Linked DNA regions of Tribolium castaneum. The protein of the gene in region 2 purifies or fractionates together with the protein of the main gene of each other region. This does not show direct contact. Links are inferred from orthologs where the notes say so. Each region holds a gene or a part of one and is shown on either strand. Other genes may lie near its edges.

Region 1 (11,510 bases), about 25 Mb from region 2:
TTTATTTTCGAAGAGATTTCGCTGAAAAATCACGTGAAACAAATCAAATAAGCGCAATTGCAATCAATTTGGATTAACATTTCGTGATTTTCCAGCCATTGTTAGCGAAATTAATTAAAAGATTAAAAGACTTTTGTTGTGACCTTAAAATGTGCTTAAACTCTCGAAAAAATAAAAATAATAGTACCATTATCGGCTTATTTAATCTTAACAAAATTAAGTTTCTAATTTAAGAATGTGCTAAAACCCTCAAAAAAAACAAAAATTATGTAGGGCTAGACTTAAGTTGGCGCTTTTTGAGCCTCCTCTAGCGAAATCTCGCAGAAGACTTAGTTCCACAACAATTTCTTGTTCAAAAACGAGCTAAATCAAGAAAAATAAGCCCAATAAAATATCTCCATTCTAATTTTGTGATTTTTTAACTAGGAGGAAAAGGTTAACACGTTTTAATAACAGAATTTTGTGTTTTTTTTCAACCTTTTTGTAGTTTTTAGTCATTTTTTGATCAATTTTGAAAAATAAATGAGTATTTAATCCAAAAATAAATTAAACAAATTAAACCAAGGGAAATAAGTTGAAATAATCAATCTTATTTAGTAAATTAAGTTTGCAAACAAATTTTTTGACCTCACAAAGTAACAATACGTCTTGACGAACTAGGACGCGCGTCATTTTAATTTTGGGTGATTGTACTTAAATTTCTACATAATAATTTGTGCAACTTTTGCCAAAATTTCACAAAATAAGATTGTTTCTTTTGTGCAAAAAATGATCAAAAAAAAATAATTATCTCGTCTTCGATCTTCATTATAGGGATATACCGTAAAAGAAATTTTTTACCTCAAAATAATGTCTAAAAAATATAAATGCCCACATTTTTTAGCAAAAACGAGCCATAAATCATTCCATACACACCAAAAAACTGTAATTTTTGATTCAATTTTAAATTTTGCAAAATTCCTCACTCAAAAAGATAAATCTAACTAGAAAGGAGACAACAATGTAATTTCCGAGACTTCCTTTGTAAGTTTTTTGCTGAAAAGTGTAGTCCTAACAAAAAAGAAGTCATTTTCCATCTTCACTGCAAATTTTTGTCTAATGTAAGCAAATTTCGCACGAAATTGACGTTTCTAACTTAAAGCATTAAAAGAAAAAGAAAAACTATTACGTGACTTTTCGGCTTTTCGTCGAAATTTTTGTACATACATTTTGACTCAGGATTTTTTAATGGTACATATTTATGGTGTGAAAAACGCAATAAAAAATAATTCATTTGTGTGTTATGACTATTATGACTAAAAGAAGTACATACCATAATTTGTGAGAAGGGTCCCATTTTCATGATGTTCTGAAACTGTTCGTACATATCTCTAAGTGTGAACTGTCCATGTTTGATTTTCTCTAACAATTCTTCATTATCTTCTAGTTTCAATTCATTTACTTTGTCTATGAGACCCTCAATATCGCCCATTCCTAGCAATTTACTGACGAAAGGTTTGGTCTTGAACGGCTCTAAATCATCAATATGTTCCCCTGTACCAATGTAAATAATCGGACTGTTGGTAGCAGCCACCCTGATTGATTTTTTCTATTAAAATTTCCGTCTTTGTAAAATAAAATACTCGACTTACGCACTGAGGGCGCCTCCACCCTTGGCATGTCCGTCCAATTTTGTGATAATTACAGACCCTACATCGACTTTTTCTTTAAAAGCTTTCGCTTGAGCTTCACAAGCTTGACCTATGGTGGCGTCCATGACGAAAATAATATTGTCAGGTTGCTAAAGCCACAAAAATTACACAAAATTTAAATTGGAAATTTTCACATACAATGGCGTTTGAAACTGCCAACATCTCTTCAAATAATGATTCTTCTTGCTTATGTCTTCCGCTCGTATCCACAATAATAATCTCAAAACCCTCTTTTTTGAACATGTCGACACCATCTTGCGCTATCACCACTGGGTCCACCTCAGTGTAACTAAAATTAATTCATTGTGATTTGAAACTAAGTTGGAAATATTTAATGATGTACACAATACTGTGTTTTTTGTTAGTGTGTTAAATGCCCGTGTTATTAGGTTTTTCGTTTTTATAGTAATAATAATACACTAATTAATACTAGGACCGGTTTATATAAAGCTTTGTTAAAATTTAATTCGTTGTTAAAAGATTATAACACATTTAATTGCGAATTAAATTAAATCAATAAATCGGATCTTACAGAAATATCATAAATTATGTGTTTATAACTGTAATTCTATACAAAGTAAAACTAAGTAGTTATTAAAACCTATGAATTAGAAAAAATTTTCCAAAATTATACATTACACTTTCGAGTAGTTACAAAACAAAAGTTACAGAACAAAAGTATGGAACCAAATTACAATTTCACAAATTACACAAAAATAAAATTTATACATTATCAAATATTATCATTTTTTATGTAAAAAAATATGTTTTGATTTAAGTTAAAATTAAGATAAAAATATTACCAGAGTTATTTTTTTTGATAAATAATGAATTATTGAAGTTTAGTTCCGAAATCATCACATAAATTTTTCGAACTTGACCGAAGATGTTTCATATTGTAAAAAATCAAGATATTCACAATGAAAATAGTCTCATAACTCGTAAGTCATAACGTGAGGGTGTGTTTACAAAAAAAAGAATTACGCAACTTAGATAATTTATTTTAAAAAATACTGATTTAATCAGTACTCGTATTAATGAACTAGAAGTCATTTTTAGAGTATCATACTTAACCAAAAAAATTGTCGTGGTATGGTGCCATTCTGGCATTTAAAATATTTTTTAGGATAATTAAAAAACTACATAAAAGGAATCAGTTTTTAAAAAAAGATTACATTTTTAAAATAATTATAATAAATAATTTTCGTAAAATGAATAGTTAGACAAAAAAGACTGAATACAGTTTCAACAAGTTACGACCAACAAACTGTCAAAAATGGATAAAAATGCACAAAGGTAGATCTAGGAAGCAACTTATATTATTATTTTTTTAAAGTACTCAATCTGTGTTTATGCAGAATAATTAAAAAAAATATTCTATGGTAAGATTTTGGTATTTATGCCACATAATAATTTACTATAGAACTTTTTGAACTTCAGGCATTTTTAGTTTTTAAGTAGTTTTTAAGAATGTTTTTTTTTATATCAGCTTATGCGGAATTAAGAAACAAACATACTTTCTTAATACGTACCACCCTACCGTAAATCCTAACACAATCAAAGTTATTTGTAAACAAAATTTAATGACAGATTTTTACTGAATAAAAGTTGAAGATGAGACTTATTCTGTTTATTTTTAATTATTATCATTCGATGCTAAATTAAAAATCAAACTTTTTTTCTTAATTGTGAACACTATGGTAATTCAAGTCAAGTTTGATTGTAATTTTCTTTCGGTACCTTTAATGTTTGTACTTTTTATCCATATTTTAAAATTACGGGTGCAAAACCAATTTTTTGTTATTTTTTTAACAGGAATTCCTGAACCGATTTGAATTTTTCTTAGGGAAATGAAAGTTATCACAAAAATTAATAGCATACCATTAAAAATGTCACAGTTTTTTAGGGCAATCTGTATAATGAAAAATATTTTCCTGAAATGTGTCTTAGAATACAAATAGCGACTACAAAAAATGAAAAATCTAACTTAAATAATAACTGAACTACAAAAAACGAATCAAACATCCTGTAGTAGGTATATGGTGTAAAAAAACCGAAATTTTCTATTTTTTGTTACACATGTTGTTATTTGGATACTTAATTTTAATTACAATTCATCTTTTCTACAAATGATTTTACTGTCCTGAACTATAATTGGAAAACATGTAGTTCTATTAGCTTAAAAATACTGGAACACAAACTTATAACTTTGTAATTAGATAAACCAATTTTCAAACCTTTTTTTTTTTAGAAGAATAACATTAAAAAATTACAGTTTATTTGAAAAAATATCCTATTTAAATAATAAATTTATTATCTACATGTTCATGTAGTTACTTCATAAGTTATTAGAAATTTTATCTTCACATGAAGCATTGAAGTTGTTAATAATATTGAAATAACATCATATTCGGTTACACCGAATAAGAAAAATTATCCACTAATGACATGCAAGTCTTATTTATAAATTTATGACCATAGGGTAATAGGTAATAGGTAAGACAGTGTTAAGTGTTAAAATCTGTGGTGTTATCTGTTTGGAATTAACGTAGTTCGACCATTTTTCTGCAAATGGTTTCAATAATTATTGTCATATTGCTTAATTTTTTTGTTGGAACTGAGTATAAAGTCGTCATTATCAGTTTGTGTAAATTGTTCTTTAACAAATTTTCTTAAAACGAAACCGCATTTTTTAATTCAATCACACAGGTGTTAATTTCATTCATTGTTACCAACGTAATTTAAAAACTATAGGTCACTCCAATGTTTTTAACTAGTTAACCTTGATATTTCAAATGATTAAAACAAATTCCTTAGTGCAAAAATCTGTAACATTACCTTCCGTAAAACGGGATTCTTGCTTTTGTGCAATTTTGTTTAACCTGGTCATAGGCACCAGCCCTGAACGTGTCCGCACACACTAAACACGACTTCCAATTTTTCTTCTGATAATGATATGCCAGCTTTGTACAAGTTGTGGTTTTCCCTGAGCCTTGAAGCCCAACAAACATAATAACATTGGGTTTGCCTTTAACAGGCTGGTATGGCTTGACACCGGGATCGACAAGCTATAAACACCACTTATAACCAAAATTCGACAAACAAACTGTTCCTACTTTAACGAGCTCTTTGAAAACGGCACTCTGGATCATCCTCCGCTTGTTCAAGCCCCCTGCCATCTCATCAAAATCAATAACCGCCCTCACATTTTCCCGCAGTTTTTTCACGAGACGGATATTTACATCGGCTTCAAGCAGAGCTGCACATATTTCCTTGAGCATTCCATTGAGAACCTGCAAAACATTGGGGGCTCACCTAACCTCAACACCATCTGGAAGACTTTACCTCTTCGTTTATTATCGTTGCTTTGCTTAACGACTGCAAAGCAGTCGTTATTTTACGACCTAAGTCTGCTAAAACCATCGTGGAAGCTTCGTTTCACACAGTTAATGCTTTATTTGTTGTTAAAAATGTTTCAACAATTTTGACAAGTTGGTGACATGCTGGTTGTGGGATGTGGCTAAGGTTCCACCAAAAAAAACTTGGCATTGGTTGGCAATGGTGGGTGTGGCGCCAGATTTGAATGAAATGCGCTTGAACCCATTGTAGCAAAGTGTATAATTATCTACAGAGTTAAATACAAATAATTACATTTAGGCAATGCTATTAACATCTTATTACATCACAATATAAAATCACAATCTTTTAAATGCTATCATATTTACAATAAAATTACACCCGCAATAACAAAGACAAAAAACAAGTCAATAAATAACAAAACAATAAAAATAATTGCCACGTCACGACATTTTCCACAACTCATTTCAATACTGAACTCTTTGGAAATTGAAAATTACACTTATCGCGGAATTTTATCAAGAAAATCCATTTCAATGACTTTGTCGATTTTCTCCAAGATCATGATCAATTTTTTATCAGACTGTCTATCATTTAACGTGTGATGATCGCTGGTTGTTATTTTGCTACATTCTGTCCTATGTCGATTAGAACATAGACTAAGAGTTTTGAAAAAGCTGTGCAGATCCTTTAGTTGGTTAATACTGTTCATAGTTAGTAATAATTCATTTCGTTTCATTGGCAGAGTTTCGATTTGTGTATCAGTGAATTTTTTATCCATCAGGTTGGCTATCCTGACCACGTGTGGGATAAATGAAGCCCCTGCCGAACTGTGGAGCCGTTCTAAATCATCCCCCACAAATGCCCACCGATACCTAAAAAAAATCATTTTTTGTTTTAAGAAAAAAAACACAAAAAACTTACATTTGAAACTGGGGTAAAGTAACAGCTGGCAACAACAACGCCAAATCTAGTAACTTAGCCGTGGCCAACTGTAGTCTCAACCAATGAGGGTGGCCCAAGGCGTGCAAACCGTTGTTGCTATTCGTCGACCAACTTGCGTCAAGGGTTGATAACAGCTTTATATGATAACTACAAAAATCCAAATATAATAAAAAACACTAAAATTATGTTCTTGGATAAGGCTTGACCATGGGAGTCTGATGATAAATGCTGATCTTATTAAAAAAGGATTTATACTCGTCAATGTTCTAAAAACCTTTTTTAATGAAAGAAAAGTTTAGAGTTAAATAATGTTAATGTAACGGTGTTTAGTAGACAGAAATACAACACCAATTTGAAGTATTTAATGAACTTAACGAAATTCTTCAAAATATGGCTTTCTAGCTAAAAAACATAATAAAAATCCCGAAAAATGTAATTTTCATTTTTAACCGATTTTTGAGAAGTATAAAAAATTTCATAAAGCACCTATTTTCGGTTCACTTTAATAAAAACCATTGTGGTGCAAATGACTAAGCTGTTACCATGACAACTCATATAAAATTTAATGCCAAGGGTATGCTATTTGCACCACAATGGTTTTTATGAAAGTGAACCGAATATATGTTTTTTTTAACTTAACTACATGAAAAAGATTTTCGTATCAATTCGGCGATTATTCGGCCCATTCTTATCAAAATTTCCCTTAAATAAAAGCGTTTTCTAGGTGAAAAATCTGCTAAAACAGCCGATAAAAACAAAATAATATCACTTTTAGGACATGCAGTGATTTTCGGCCTAGTTAGTAAAATGTCAGAAAAAGACATCAAAAACGCGCTCAACACTAAAAAGAAAAATATTCTAGAATTTTTTTACACATAATATTATGGCATTTCTGGCTAAAAAGTGTAAACACTTTCGACATGAGTTAGGTTAGTATGTATCATTTTTAACCACATTTTGTGACTTCTCAGCACAGTTAAGCGAAATACCGCCAAAGAGCTAATTTTTGGTTTAAAAATGTGCTTAAACCACACTATTTTCAACCTTGTAACTAAAAAGTTTTTCGGATACTTTTTAATAAAATTTTGCAAAATAATTGCGTTTCTAATTAAAAAACGTACAAAAACTCTCGAGAACGACCAACTTTATGTAATATTTCAAGCCTGAACATGTTTTTAACTTATTTGAGAAAAAAAAAAACAAGGAAAAAGACATGTTATAAACTTAATAACTTAGTAATTTTTCCGCTTATTTTTGCTGGAATTTCTAGAAATTAGTGGTTGTGATAACACCACCATAAAAAAATCAAATCATTTGTGATCCAATTTTAAGAATTGTAAAAACTGTAGAAAAATACAGTAGTTTCCAAAAAAATTAAAAATTTCGCGACGTAATTGTGTTTTTAGCTGAAAAACGTAGCAATTCTCTAAAAGAAAAAAAGCTTGAAGACGTAGTTGTCAAAATTTTTGGACACTCTTTAGCCAAATCCAGTACAAGTGCAGTTTTTAGTGAAAAACGTGCTTACACGTTCAAAAAAGATAAAATAGAATCACTTTCGAACTAATTTCTTAATTTTAGTGCTTATTTTTTTACGAAAACCTTAAAGATTATGAGTCATTAATTGAGTATTGCTGGTTAAAAGGCTGAAAAAGCAAAATAATGTTATTTGCGACTCAACTTCGTCAGCAAATTTTCCTAAAATAATTGCATTTGCTACGAAAAACGTAATAAAACACATGAAAAAGAGAAAAACAACACGATTTCTAGCCAATTCTACCATCATTTGATGTACTCTTAACAAAATTTTCATTAATAATTGCTTTTCTAATTGAAAAACATGCTAAAACAGTCGATCAAAAATATTAAAACATGACACTTTGAACCAATTTGTGTTACTTTTTAATGGCGTTCGCAAAATCAGTAATAATTAAGAACTTTTTTGGTCCATTTAATAAAATTTTGAAAAACTGCGTTTCTAGTTAAAAAACGCACCAAAACTTACAAAATGTAACATATTTTAGCCGAAATTTCGAAAAAGCCGGGTTTTCAGTTCGATAACATACTTGCCCATTTGAAAATAAAAAAATTACACCTTTTTCTAACTAATTTGCTAAATTTTCAACTATTTTCGACAAAATTTCGTAAAATATAATTGCATTTCTGGATGAAAAAATGTGCTAAATTCTCGAAAAATCATTTTTCACATTTTTAATAATTTTTTCAACAGTTTTAGTTTAAAAAAAAACATGCTAAAACAACAATTTTATGTCCAATATAACTTAGTAATTTCTTCTAATTAGTTCGAGTCAGCGAAATGTTGCGGAAAATCAGAAAAAGCTTAAAGCAACAAAATATTAATAATTTTTCAGCTTTTTTAGCTGAAATTGCCCGATATAATTATAAGTTTGTCAATAAAAAACAAGCCAGAATGCCCAAAAAAGCATAAATCACATCATTTTAGACGTAATTCCTTGATTTTTCAGCCAGGTTTAGCAAAATCTCACGAACAAATAATTTTTTAGTTTAAACATAGCCTTAACAGTCAACAGAAGAAAAAATAAATAAAAACAATCAAATTTTGTTCAACTTGAAAAAAAACCTTATCCAAAAACATGCAAACGGATTACAATAATTAATTAGAAATGTTAGTACACAAAAGCATGCTTTAATTAATTACAATTATTTTTAATTACCTGTTGCCCGTCCTGCGATCGCAGCCAACATGTTGCAAACAAACAAAATTTTGTTAGAATATACCAATAGCATTTCTAGAAAACTACTAAAGCCCTCATTAGTGACATAACTAAGATACAAAATATTCCACCACTAAGAAAACAACCCAACAAAACCCCAATCGAAAAAAATGTAACCTATAGTTGGTCAAACTACTACAGTACACGACTTTTACCGAACCTCTTATAATCCAAACAATTATTTTTATTAATTTTTTTGTCACTTTTTATTTGTTAATAAAAAAATTAATACGAAACAGAAATTGATTCGAACTATAGAGGTTTTACTGTACTACACTTGTTAGTCTCAAAAGTTCTACAAAATAATCAAAACTGTTAATTGCAAAAAACAGACCTTTTGCCGAATGGCCAACTTAGCTACAGTTTTTTCGACTACTTAATTACCCCTCTACTGTAACAAAACAAATGAACATGTCTGACAAATAACATAAAATCCAATACCCAACATACAAAAAAACTGAAAAACCTCACCTAAATTCCTCGGTGTCGGTCAACAGTTCTTGCTCGATTTGGAGAAAAACTTGTAACATTTCGCTTATGATAATAGGCCATAGTGATGTAATGTGTATTGGACTCATACGTATCAGGATGACACGAAAACAAAGAAAAACTTGTGCTTGTACACCTGGCACATTCAGTCTTAGACTACTTGTCAATTGTTCTAAAGAAATTAAATATTTTGGTTTAGCGAGTTTTAACTAGAAAAAAAATTATTGTTACCTTGTATGTCCGGCATGTATTTGGCATATTGGTCCATTTCGCTACAAAATATCACATACGCGAGACGTTTCAAGAGCTGCGCCCTTTGTTCATACTCCTGTTCTCGAGATGAAAATATACTCAAGCTGCCGCTTTGGGTCAAAGACACTCGACCTACAATATTTGTTATTTTTGTCAAGATGATTTAATTCAATTTAACCAGTTTTGAAATTAGATTTGCAATTCGATTCATGATTAATTTATAATACCTAATTTAAGTAACCATGAGCACAAAAAAATACAGACATATGAAGCATCAATAGAAGGAAATAAAGTTAATCAAAAAATTGTATCAAAAACTATATTAATACAGAGGACGATATTAAACAAATTAAGGAAAAAAATGTAGTAAAATAAATTTCTTATGTCAAAGACTTTTTAAATAAAATTTAATTCACTACAACTTTGTTCTAAATATATTTTTTAATCTTCAACCGTGTTCGCAGCGTGCTCTGAAAATACGTACCGTCTACATTAATAATTTTTTTAAGTTCTTTTATTTCCGTTTTTCAAATTTTCAAATAGTGCAAAAGTTCATTATTTATTTGTCACAATAAATATAAAAACAATAATATAAAAACATCTCTATAGCTACTTCCAAATATAATTTTACATAATTTTTACAGTCCACATCCGCAACAACGGAATTGCATTTTTAAGAATAAAATTGAAACAAGTTTAAACATAATGTATAATAGAAGAATTCTGTGTTACAAATGTTAAAAAGAAACCCACTGATAAATTTAGTACCAAGAAAATCGCGTCCATCAATAATTATGAAAATTCTATTTCAAACTATTGAAAAAATGACAACACCAACAGCTATTGCCAATAGGAAAAAATTGCATAGTTATGGGTTATTCTGGATCATAGGGGCAAATTTAGTGCAATGAAAATTCATTAAATAAAAGAGAAAAATATTTATAAAAATTTACATTGGAATTGGAAAGATTGGAAACCGAATATACAGACTGAACCAAAATTAACACACAAAATTCATATCTTTAATTCGTTTTTTTTTGATAATTTTTCAAAAAAAATCCTTAAACATGTCGATTTTATTTTTTTAATGCTACAATTTTTGCAATTACACATGCCATTTTTCATTTGTGTTTTAGATAGTACACATTGTTATCTTTCTGGTATTCAAAATTCAAAAAATTCAAAAAAATATAGCAAAAAATTAAAAAAAAAGAAAATAAAATTAAAAAAAGTTATTGAGAGTATTACACAAAAGGATTATTAAGATTAAGAAATGATGGTTTTTTTGTTCATTTTTTGTGTTTAGGTGTCAGATTTCATGCTAATTTTACAAAAAAATTTATAAAAAATAAATATGATGTGTCAGCTTTTTTTAAGTAGAAGTACCTAAGATTTTAATTTTCTAATTAAATTAAAAATACTTTTTTTAGTTTTCCAACGCAACTGAGTATTTGTTTAGCTGTGTTGTCCATTAATAAACGAGCTAATTTACTGAAGACTGAAAATTTAGCTGAGAAATTAACCAGTTTGAACTAAGTTGTCATTTACTTTGCATTGACAAATGAAGGGTTCAGAAGCGAATCACAGTATAGAAATAAGATAATAATTACGCACTATGCATTTTTTGTGTTTAGGTGTCAAATTAAATGTTTTCATGCTAATTTTACATAAAAATATATAAAAAACAATTATGTTGTGTCAGCTTTTTTAAGTAAAGTACCTAAGGTTTTAATTTCCTAAAAAATACTTCTTTTTGTTTTCCAACTGACTATTTGTTTAGCTGTGTTGTCCATTAATAAAAAAGCTGATTTATTGAAGACCGAAAATTTAGCTGAGAAAATAACCAGTTTGAACTAAGATGTCATTTGCAATGACAAATGAAAGATTCAGAAGCCAATCACAGTAAAAAAAAATAAGATAATAATTAACCATTCTCAAATATTTATTATTAAAATAAAAATATAGCATAACTTGCAAAAGTAAAAAACAGAATCATTATGGAAAGACATGACTTCGGAAAAAG
Region 2 (9,656 bases):
CGACTGTAATGAAACACGGAATGTTCAATTATTTTTTATCCATTTATTAATCCAAAGTTACGGTAACTAATCTAGTCTTACTCAATTTGTTACCACAATAATTGTTACGTTTGTTACAAATACATTTTAATAATTTCCTTTCGTGTTTTATTTTTATTTTCTCTCTCTCTCTTTTTCTTTATGTAAATACAGCCTGTTGTAGTGCAAGTGACAGTAGATACAAATAGTAAGTACCTCACAATCAAGGTCGAGGAAAAAAAAATTATTTGAAAAAAATTGTAGGTTCGGAAAAGTTGGCTTTGAGGAGGGCTGTTGAGAGACGAGAACAGTACCGACAAGTGAGAGCGCATGTGCGAAAAGAGGATGGAAGATTGCAAGCGTATGGTTGGAGTTTGCCCGGAAAAGTTGGTCCGGGAACGAAAGGAACACAAAGTAGTTCCGGGGTTCCGGTCCCGGTCCCGGTTTATTGTAGGCCATTGGCTGAAACTACGCCCGGGATGAAGATTTGGTGTGCAGCGGGTGTTAATCTCATGGGGGGTTACACCAAAGATGGGGGGCTTATGGTAAATAATTAAAAAAAAAATATGAGCTAAAATCCAGCGAAAGAATTTAAATGATTAAATAATGTTTTTTAAGGTGGGGGGCAGTGTCTTCTACTCGGAAGAGCCCCGCCTGGAGCAGCCCCACACCGAGCTAGAGACTCTGGATCAGGAGCTGAATGCAGGTCGTGAAGGGGCACTTCTCGAGACAAAATTATCGTCACTTGTGTGGATTTGTACATACACACATGCTGCTAGTTTAGTAACCGTAATCGATGCGAATAATCCAGCGGAGATTTTGAATAGTTTTGGGGTTTGTGCAAACCATGTTTTATGCATTGCTAGTGTACCTGGTGCTAGTCCAAACGATTATAATAAAACGTATACCAAAATTAACGTTAGTGAGAATGCAAAAGACAGCAGTGATAACGTCGTAGAAAATAAAGAAGACGAAGGGGAAAATAATACAAACAAAACGAATGATAAAAATCACGAAGAGTTGGAAGAGGCGGCTTTGGTGAGTCACAGTGTTGCAAAAGTGTGAACTTTTCTATTTGTTTTTTTGGTTACAGATTGGGAAAGTTACGTTTGTTGAAAACGATACTTCTGTGGTTAATAAAAAAGACAAATATAATAATGCAAAATCAACGGTGGATGAAGAGAAAATTGAGGAACAACCTGTTGAGGATGAAACTGATGAAAATGTGGGTGAAAGTGATAAGAATAAAACGAGCAATCAGGAAATAATGTCGAGTGTTTTGGCAACAATGTGGCTAGGAGCGGAAAATGGAATGGTTTATGTTCACTCATCGGTGGCCAATTGGAATCAGTGTCTGCATTCCGTCAAACTTAAAGATGCAGTGATAAGTATTGTGTAAGTAATTTAACTTGAAAAATTCAAATAAATAATAGGAATTTTTTTCTTTTGAAAATCATCGACCTAAACAGATCCTCACAAATCTTTTTCTAATAATTTTCTAGTAATCAATTTTTTTTATAAATTGTAATTTTTTAATTTGGGTAGTGATAATAACTTTGGGACTAACAAAAATTTTAAAATTGTATTTTCTCAAATGTCACTCTATTAATCATGTTAACTTTGAAAAAAAGTATTTAAATGACGTAAACCTAATGATATTGCGATCTTTGACGAATTTTTAAACGCTGAAGTGAAGGGTTAGTTAACACTTCTCTTGCTGCTTTATCATTATTATCAACCAACATATTCCTCAAAACTCGGTGAAAAGTTTGTTATAAACGGAAAATTGCGTCACATTTAGTTCGTTACAACCGGACTTAACTCTATTTAAAACACGCAAAAATTCCTACCGTTTGTGTGAAGTCTTGTTGAGGCACCACGATAAATTATTGATAAATTAAACGACGTTTACCGTCCGAAAACACACAAAAGACTGAAGTGATCACGTAACTAACTAACCTTCTTTATCTCGGCCAAAAAACACCGTTTTTTTCTTTGTATTCCGATAAATGATAATTATCAAAGTTTGAGCGGAATGAAGAGAATGGCAATTTTTTGCAGACATATAAATGGCCGTGTCGTTTGTGCTTTGGCTTGTGGTACTTTGGCAATTTTCGCACGAAACGATGATGGAGAATGGGACTTGTCCCGTTACCATTTGGTACAAGTGGGTTTACCACATCAGTCCGTTCGTTGTTTGGCTGTTGTTGGAGATAAAGTCTGGTGCGGATATAGGAATAAAATTCACGTGCTTGAACCACAAGAATTGGGAATAATTCATTCGCTGGAAGCGCATCCTCGACGTGAAAGTCCCGTAATTTTTAATCACATTTATATTTAATTAAATGATAATTTTTTTATACAATAGGTGCGACAAATTGCGTGGTTGGGTGAAGGTGTTTGGGTTTCGATTCGTTTAGATTCGACTTTAAGACTGTACCATGCTCATACCTACCAGCATTTGCAGGATGTGGATATTGAGCCGTACGTCAGCAAGATGTTGGGTGAGTTTTTTAAATATTTCAGAAAAAAAATGAGAAAATTTAGACAATTTATACAAGACTTTCGAGTTTAATATCTCAATTATTTGTCAACGGATTGTTATTTTAAATTTCATAAAAATCCGTTGACAAATGTATGAGATATCAGGCTTAAAAGTCTTAGCTGAGACACCCTGAATAAAATTGATAAATTTTTCGAAATAAACAAATAACGTGTTAGGTACTGGAAAGCTGGGCTTTTCCTTCGTGCGCATAACGTGTCTTTTGATATCGTCAAACCGCCTCTGGATTGGCACAAGCAACGGTGTCATAATTTCCGTTCCATTGAGCGAGAACGGGGCAAACACCGGAAGCATAGTTCCCCGGGGATCAACCAGTCTTCCCGGAGCGGGAGTACGTGTTGCTCCCGTTCCCGGAAGCTTTATCCCTTTTTGTACCATGGCCCACGCTCAACTCAGCTTCCACGGCCATAGAGATAACGTGAAATTTTTTGTCGCCGTCCCCGGAAACGGAGGTAAATTTTTTTTATTGAAATTGAAAAAACTAAAATAAATGTAAAGGAATGAGCGCGGCTTCGACGCCTTCAGAGGCACTGTCGACTTCTGCGACTTCGATCGGGTTGCCCCCCAAGCAGCCGTCGGCAATGCTGGTGATGTCGGGGGGCGAAGGTTACATCGATTTCCGCGTCGGTGAGTATAAAAAGGGGGCTAAAACGGATTCCTAGGAATATTAAGTGTTGGAGGAGGTTACTAACAGAGAGACATTTGCAGAGGACGAAAATGAACCGAGAGATGGAGACTCGCATCTGCTCGTTTGGCAGGTTTTGCCTGATATTCCTGGGAATCCTGTGGGGTACGTTTTGTTTATTTTTTGTTTTTTTCGGGGGGGATTTTTTGAGTTGTTGCGGTTTTTAGGTGATGAGATGGAGGATAGCGTTATTGATACTGAAACCGGTGATCTTGAAGCAGCTCAGGGCGAATCCAAAGGGGAAAAAAGTCACTTGATTGTGTGGCAAGTGTCCACAAGTTAATTAAGCAAAATGATATTTAACATTAATTGAAATACTAAACATTAGCGGTTTTAGATTAGTAACGTTTATAAAAAAAACAACTTGGACGATATTTTAGCTTGTGAATATGTTATTGATACATAATATTTTATCGTTGTTTTATATCTGTTACATGTAAAAACTATTTATTATGATTTGTAAATTTGAGACGTGTATTTAGGAAAATTTTTATTTAAATGTATCGTGCTTACACTGTAAATGAAACTTATACAAACTGAATGCTTTTTATTCAAATAAGACCCACTCACAAATGCGATTGCATTGACGTTTGAGGTTATGTTAGTGTTCTTTTGATGCCATATGTCGCATTAAATTGTTGATAAATTTGTCTATTTTTCGCACATCTTGGGCAATCTCCGTTTTGAATTGTAAACACTGAAAATAAACGCTGGGAACAGTCCACAAACAGCCTTTTAATGCCTTACCACCACATCATCTGTCATTTTTAAAATTAACACATTTTTTGAATGCACGTATTTCATCGTGTAGCGCGCTTTTGACGGTGCCTGAAGGTACAATTTCTCGGCAGCTTTTTCGAATTCTTCCCAAGATTTTAGATAAGTCATTTTAATTCAAATTAAAACTAATCATAGCAAAATATACATCCACGCACTTGGACTTGTCAAAACGCAATGCAACCAACAGTGCCCACACCGAACTCCCTAAATAAATGTTACTAGTGTCAGGCAGCCCCACTTTCAAAACGAATTTTTTTTCGTTTCGAGTTAATTATTCAATTGGGGGTGAAGTCGTAGTCACGAAATTGTTGCAAATTGTTGTTTAATTTGATAATAATGGTGGTTTTCACGTGCAATCACTGTGGCGAGAGTCTCCAAAAACCACGTGTTGAGAAACACTACAGTTTTCAGTGCCGGAGGCCGAAGTCACTGACTTGTGTTGATTGTTTTAAGGATTTTAAGTACGTATTCGCGCCCTTGTAGCATCAAATTTACGTTTAAATTATTAGGAATGAAGAATATGCAGTTCACACTAAATGTATCACAGAGGAGGAAAGGTACGCAGCTAAGGGCTCAATTCCTGGTGGGATTGTTAAAAAAGGGGAAGTGAAACAGGAATCGTGGACCGACATGATCAAGTCCATTGTGGACACGGAAACTAGTATGAAACCGTCTCTGAGAAATTTATTTAAGACAATTTCAAACTACACGAATGTTCCAAGGAAAAAAGTCAAGTTTATTGTGGGTTTTTGGGGGCAAAATTGTATAAAAAAATTACAAGAAGTGTTTCAGAATTTTTTGAAAAGCTCCACCGGAGGTAGAGTCAATTTTGACGACATTGAAGCTGCCTGGGGCTTGATTGAGAAACACAAAAACGAACAAAGTAAAAATAACCAACAAGAGAATGGAACTAAACATAAATTGAACGGCGATTGTGGCGAAGCGCCCGTTAACAAGAAGATAAAGACAGGGGAAGAAGTCGAAGATAATAAAACTAGTGAGGATGATGTATTTAGTTTCAAGGGAACAATTTTAAGAATTCTGAGTGTAAAAGGCAGTATTTCGTGTAAGAAGTTGCAAAAGAAGGTTCTCAACGCATATGTGAAGGAAACAGGGTGCGAACACACCGAAAAGACAGTCAAGAAGTACAACAAAAAATTGAAGAAATTACCGAATGTTGTGATAAATGACGATGTTGTCTCACTGGTGACGAATGAGCAATAAACAATTCCAAATCACTCGTTTTTTATTATAGCTAAATCATATTTGTTCTTAAATAATCATCATCGTCTTGTTGTAAGTGAGTTTTCAAGAACTCCTCAACTGAATCAGTGTTCCACTTTTCAATAGCAACGGTCTCTTGCAACGTCCCATCCTTGTCGTACAATTTAATGATGGGGTCAAGCCCCCTTACGTATTTAATTTGTAGGTTAGGAAATTGCAAAGGCCGGGAACTTTTAATAAACGCCTGAATCTGCGGATACGCCCCAAATTTGCAAGTACAAACCTCTAGAACCGCCTTTGCGTATTTCTTTTCCACGGTGGCTGACTCGTCCTGGTGGCAACACTCCTTGCAATGGTCCCTAAGAAACTAATTAAAAAAAAACGATAATTTGGGACGAAATGCGTACTTTATCACGTCCAGATTGAATTTAGAGAGCTGCTCACATGACGAACACAACAAATTTGCCTTGTTGAAGCCGAGGGCCCAACAGTCTTCTGTAGTGAATTCGGAAAGGCATTTTGTCTGAAAGTTATTTTTAGGGCTTGATTAACACTTGGGAGGGCACTTACGGCACAAAGGGAGGTGAGAATTAACGTAATTATTGAACCTTTCATCATTTTAAACCGAATCAACTAATAAATCAAATTGTTAGGAATTACATAACCTCAAACTTTCTGCACTTGCGCATTATCTATAACTACGTCAGGTAAAGTGTAAGTAGGAAAAAACCTTTACGTAGGACAATTGTTTAAATTTATTGTTTTTACTTATATTACAACTTATAGATAAATATTACAATGTATATAGCTCACAAGATTTAATTAAAATTACAACAAAGTTCATAAACCCAAGAATAAAAACAAAACAACTTTACTGTAATTTATTTAGTCAATGTAATCCAAACTAAGTGTAGGTGAGACCGATTCAAATTTATCACTGATTTCCGCATACTGACGCACATCACGATCCTTATCGGCTTGGAGCCTCCTTATTACAGTTCCTAAACTATCGAAATGTTGATTACTGGGATCCGCAAAATACTCTGAAACCAAAAAAATAAATCACACAAAAACGCAACACTCGAAGCACTCACCGTTGGGAATAACATGTTGTGCGATTGTTTTTGCCACAACTAATCTCACATTAGCCACTGGATCCCAACTCAAGTCCAACAAATGAGGCATAATTTCGGTTGCAAATTTTTCCGCAGGCAAGGCTTTGGCCGATAAAAGTTTGTAACACAGGAGGGCAAACGTTTGTCTCCTCTTCCATTTTTTCGAATGAGCAAATTTCTCCACTAATCTGACTAGGTAAAGTGAGCTGAGATCGGGCTTTGATGAAATGTGCCTCAACAATTCGGTGATCTGTAATTTAAAATTAAACACTGCCACTATTAAAACTAAAAAATAACTACCAAAGAAATCGCAATTTGGCGCACGGCGGAAACATCAAATAGCAAAACTTCCCCAATAACCCCAATATGTTTGGCCGAATCCACTGGTTTGAAGAGTGTAACAATAGACAGGAGCTGCTTAGCCAACTCGTGACGGAATCGCCAATTCCATTCAGTTTCCGTTTTTAAAAACTCCTGTAGCCGAGGCAAGCACGCCAATCTTTTGGCCGGTTTAATAATCTTTAAAAAGTAGGCCAAATTTCGCAAAATTCCTATTCGGACTTCGTCCAAATCCTTGATAAAGCCTTCGAAAATTGGTGTTAAATGTTCCGATGCGATGTCTTGACCCAAAATAAACGCTAATTCGTGTAAACTACTCGCTACAGTTCTTCGTACTTTGTAATGCATATCACTAGCCAATAATTCGATGGTACGTTTTAAAAGTGGCCAATTTTTATTTTCTAACGTTAGTGCGATTGCCGGCAGTGAATAGGCGCAATGGTACGACATCTCGTTGTCTATATTTGAGGAAAACGAAGAATCCGTCATTAAAAAGTAATGAGATATCAACACTTGAGGAACAATGTCTTGCACCGGCTCGGTTTTCGCAACCTCCTTCGACTCCGAAGCTGAAAAAAAAAATCGTGCAATATTTGACCCTCATTTCGCGAGTGCATTTAAGAAAAAACAAAAAAATCATAGTCTGCCTTATACAAAATTATCTTCACGGTTGTCGTTTTGTATGTTCTAATCATTTTTGGTCAGTTAACAGTTAGTTATACTAAGTAACTAGTAAGTAAACATTTACTAAACCTTACCTGTATCAGTTGGGGCATCATTTTTGTTACTTTCGGCCAAATTTTCATTTAAATTAATCTCAGCAAATGTATCTCCTGCCTACAATAAAAAACAAAACGTTTCAGTAAATAAAACTCTGACGCAACGTATTTTTCATCATTGAAATAGTTTCAGAATAACGTTTTGGGTGACTTCACGTACGTCTCAGAAGACCGTCGTTAAATTTCATCACAAAAAAATCTAAAATGTATCATCATAAATTACCAAGAAAATACTTACAGTTACGTCACGAAAATGAGGTATTAACGAGCGTTAAAAATTACACTTAATTATTAAAAAAGCCATGCAATTTATGATGACACACTCGTGACGTTATTAGTAGAAGCATGAATTACTCACCGTTGTATCGTCCACTTTACCTCGATCGATTTGAATCTCCTCGATTAAACTGAGATCTAATGGCATTTCAGGTCTTATATACCAATAATTGTATGAATTGTACAAGTGTAAGTTATCGTCTTCTTTTTCACTCTCACTATTCAAAATTACCTGATTTTGTTCGACGGTTGTTTCCGCACCATCATCAGCGACATCATCACACATTTTTGACGTACTTGGTTCGTCTATACTCAGACTCAAATTTGCAAATTCGGCATCTAATTCGCTACCTAATTTATCACAACTCGCATTTTTTAAATTACTTATCACATTTGCATTGCTTAAGTTAGTTTTTAAGTTATCGCCTATCACACCGTGTTCTTGTTCCACGTTTCTATAGCTGAGTACAGCATTTTTCACCGTTTCCACAATCTCTTTTATATCTTCGTCGCTTTGCGCTATCAAACTACCCGAATCCAAATCGAAATTCTCCTCAGGTAATCGCTCGCTTTCCAATTCGCTACTCGCACATTCGTCGTCTTTCTCTTGCAATACATCTTCAACACCTTGCCAATCGCCAATTCCTACTTCGCTGCACGATTGGCTTAAATCTGAACTGAGAGGAGACGGCTGACGTGGCAAGTATTTGAATCGGACATCGTTAGTCTCTTTGGCAACATTCATTCTAAGGAAAAAATTTTGATTCAGTTTTACCCACTTCTCCGAAAATTTAACTACGACTTACAAAAACTCTTGACCATCTTTATTCACAAAAATTAATTCGCCTTGACTATTATAGGCCGTGCTGGTTAAAGGAGGATTGGCGTAAGTTATAATAAAAGGCCCCAATGCTTGGAATGCTGACATTTGGACCCAACGACAATCATCTTGCAATAATCTTGCAAAAACCGGTGCTAGTACCCTTCGACGTACTTCGGGTGCACTTACAGTTGATATAAACATTATTACTTCAGCACATGACTTTCGAACGCCCCATATTGAGTCTTCACACAATGCTATATAACACGGCAACTAGAAACAAAAACCGACGACTACTTTAACAACCTACGTATTACGAAAAACAGACAAAAATTTGAATAGAAAAAATTTCAGAATGGTGTAAGCTATCGTTCAAATTTTATCAGAAGACCATCGTGAAAAGTAAACTCATCATTACTTTCTTGTGCAAGTGATCACGTTTTATAATTTTTTTTTTCACTTACCAAAGTTCTGTGGAACGGTTGTTTTCCCACAACAACAGCAAAATCGCCGATATGTGCCGCACACATTTTCCTCGTGTAAAACATACTACTTTCACACATTTCCGAAAACCTCTTCAAAAACACCCTCTCTGTGACATCTCTTCCGAGCAGTGGTGCCATTCTTGACATCAACTGCAAAAAAAAAGAAAAAATCTAAATTTTATAAACACGTCGAGAGGTCACAATTAAAACAAACTGTAATTACTTACAAGTTTCGTACCTGACGTCATCAGTGCACTCTTGCGCTCATCAAAGCTGGCTGTGATATGATATAAATTCACATTTCACAACCAGATGATGAGCGAAAGCCTACACCATGAAAAATCGTACAAAAACAACACCTGAAACATAAAACACACAAACATGTGAAAATGGTGTCTATTAGATGTTGTAGCGCTCATCAAAGCTGGCTGTGATATGAGCTACAAATCCATTTCACATCCAGTTGATGAGCGACACAGCACATAAAAATCGAACAAAAATTCAAGGACACGATGATGATTCTTCGATGAATAGGTCGTCAACCAAACTCGTCAAAATGGCTGTGATACCCG

What was found. The genes of interacting proteins can lie anywhere in the genome.
Region 1: the proteins of Srp9 (region 2) and Srp54k purify together in Homo sapiens (co-immunoprecipitation; 4 studies listed by BioGRID and IntAct, counting the BioPlex papers as one, with this or other methods). This does not show direct contact. The link is inferred for Tribolium castaneum from reciprocal best matches to the Homo sapiens genes SRP9 and SRP54.

The regions. Positions count from the first base shown.
Region 1 is NC_087394.1:11,692,991-11,704,500, reverse strand, and holds the start of Srp54k (signal recognition particle subunit SRP54), read right to left. Parts: upstream 5,246-11,510; 5' UTR 5,115-5,245; coding exon 5,037-5,114; intron 4,985-5,036; coding exon 4,808-4,984; intron 4,760-4,807; coding exon 4,530-4,759; intron 1,981-4,529; coding exon 1,830-1,980; intron 1,781-1,829; coding exon 1,632-1,780; intron 1,575-1,631; coding exon 1,313-1,574; intron 1-1,312. Other genes in the region: protein dopey-1 homolog, read right to left, coding at 5,551-5,923, 5,973-6,140, 8,687-8,698, 9,218-9,407, 9,467-9,619. UniProt on the Homo sapiens protein: Component of the signal recognition particle (SRP) complex, a ribonucleoprotein complex that mediates the cotranslational targeting of secretory and membrane proteins to the endoplasmic reticulum (ER).
Region 2 is NC_087394.1:36,813,305-36,822,960, forward strand, and holds Srp9 (signal recognition particle 9 kDa protein), read right to left. Parts: upstream 4,155-9,656; coding exon 4,014-4,154; intron 3,964-4,013; coding exon 3,868-3,963; 3' UTR 3,740-3,867; downstream 1-3,739. Other genes in the region: syd (JNK-interacting protein 3), read left to right, coding at 283-563, 637-1,056, 1,112-1,413, 2,080-2,332, 2,387-2,522, 2,740-3,033, 3,080-3,208, 3,434-3,549; uncharacterized protein C16C10.8, read left to right, coding at 4,383-4,507, 4,556-4,787, 4,839-5,270; selenoprotein F, read right to left, coding at 5,302-5,629, 5,678-5,793, 5,841-5,888; serine/threonine-protein phosphatase 4 regulatory subunit 1, read right to left, coding at 6,156-6,313, 6,365-6,635, 6,686-7,293, 7,483-7,561, 7,862-8,525, 8,586-8,872, 9,064-9,234. UniProt on the Homo sapiens protein: Component of the signal recognition particle (SRP) complex, a ribonucleoprotein complex that mediates the cotranslational targeting of secretory and membrane proteins to the endoplasmic reticulum (ER).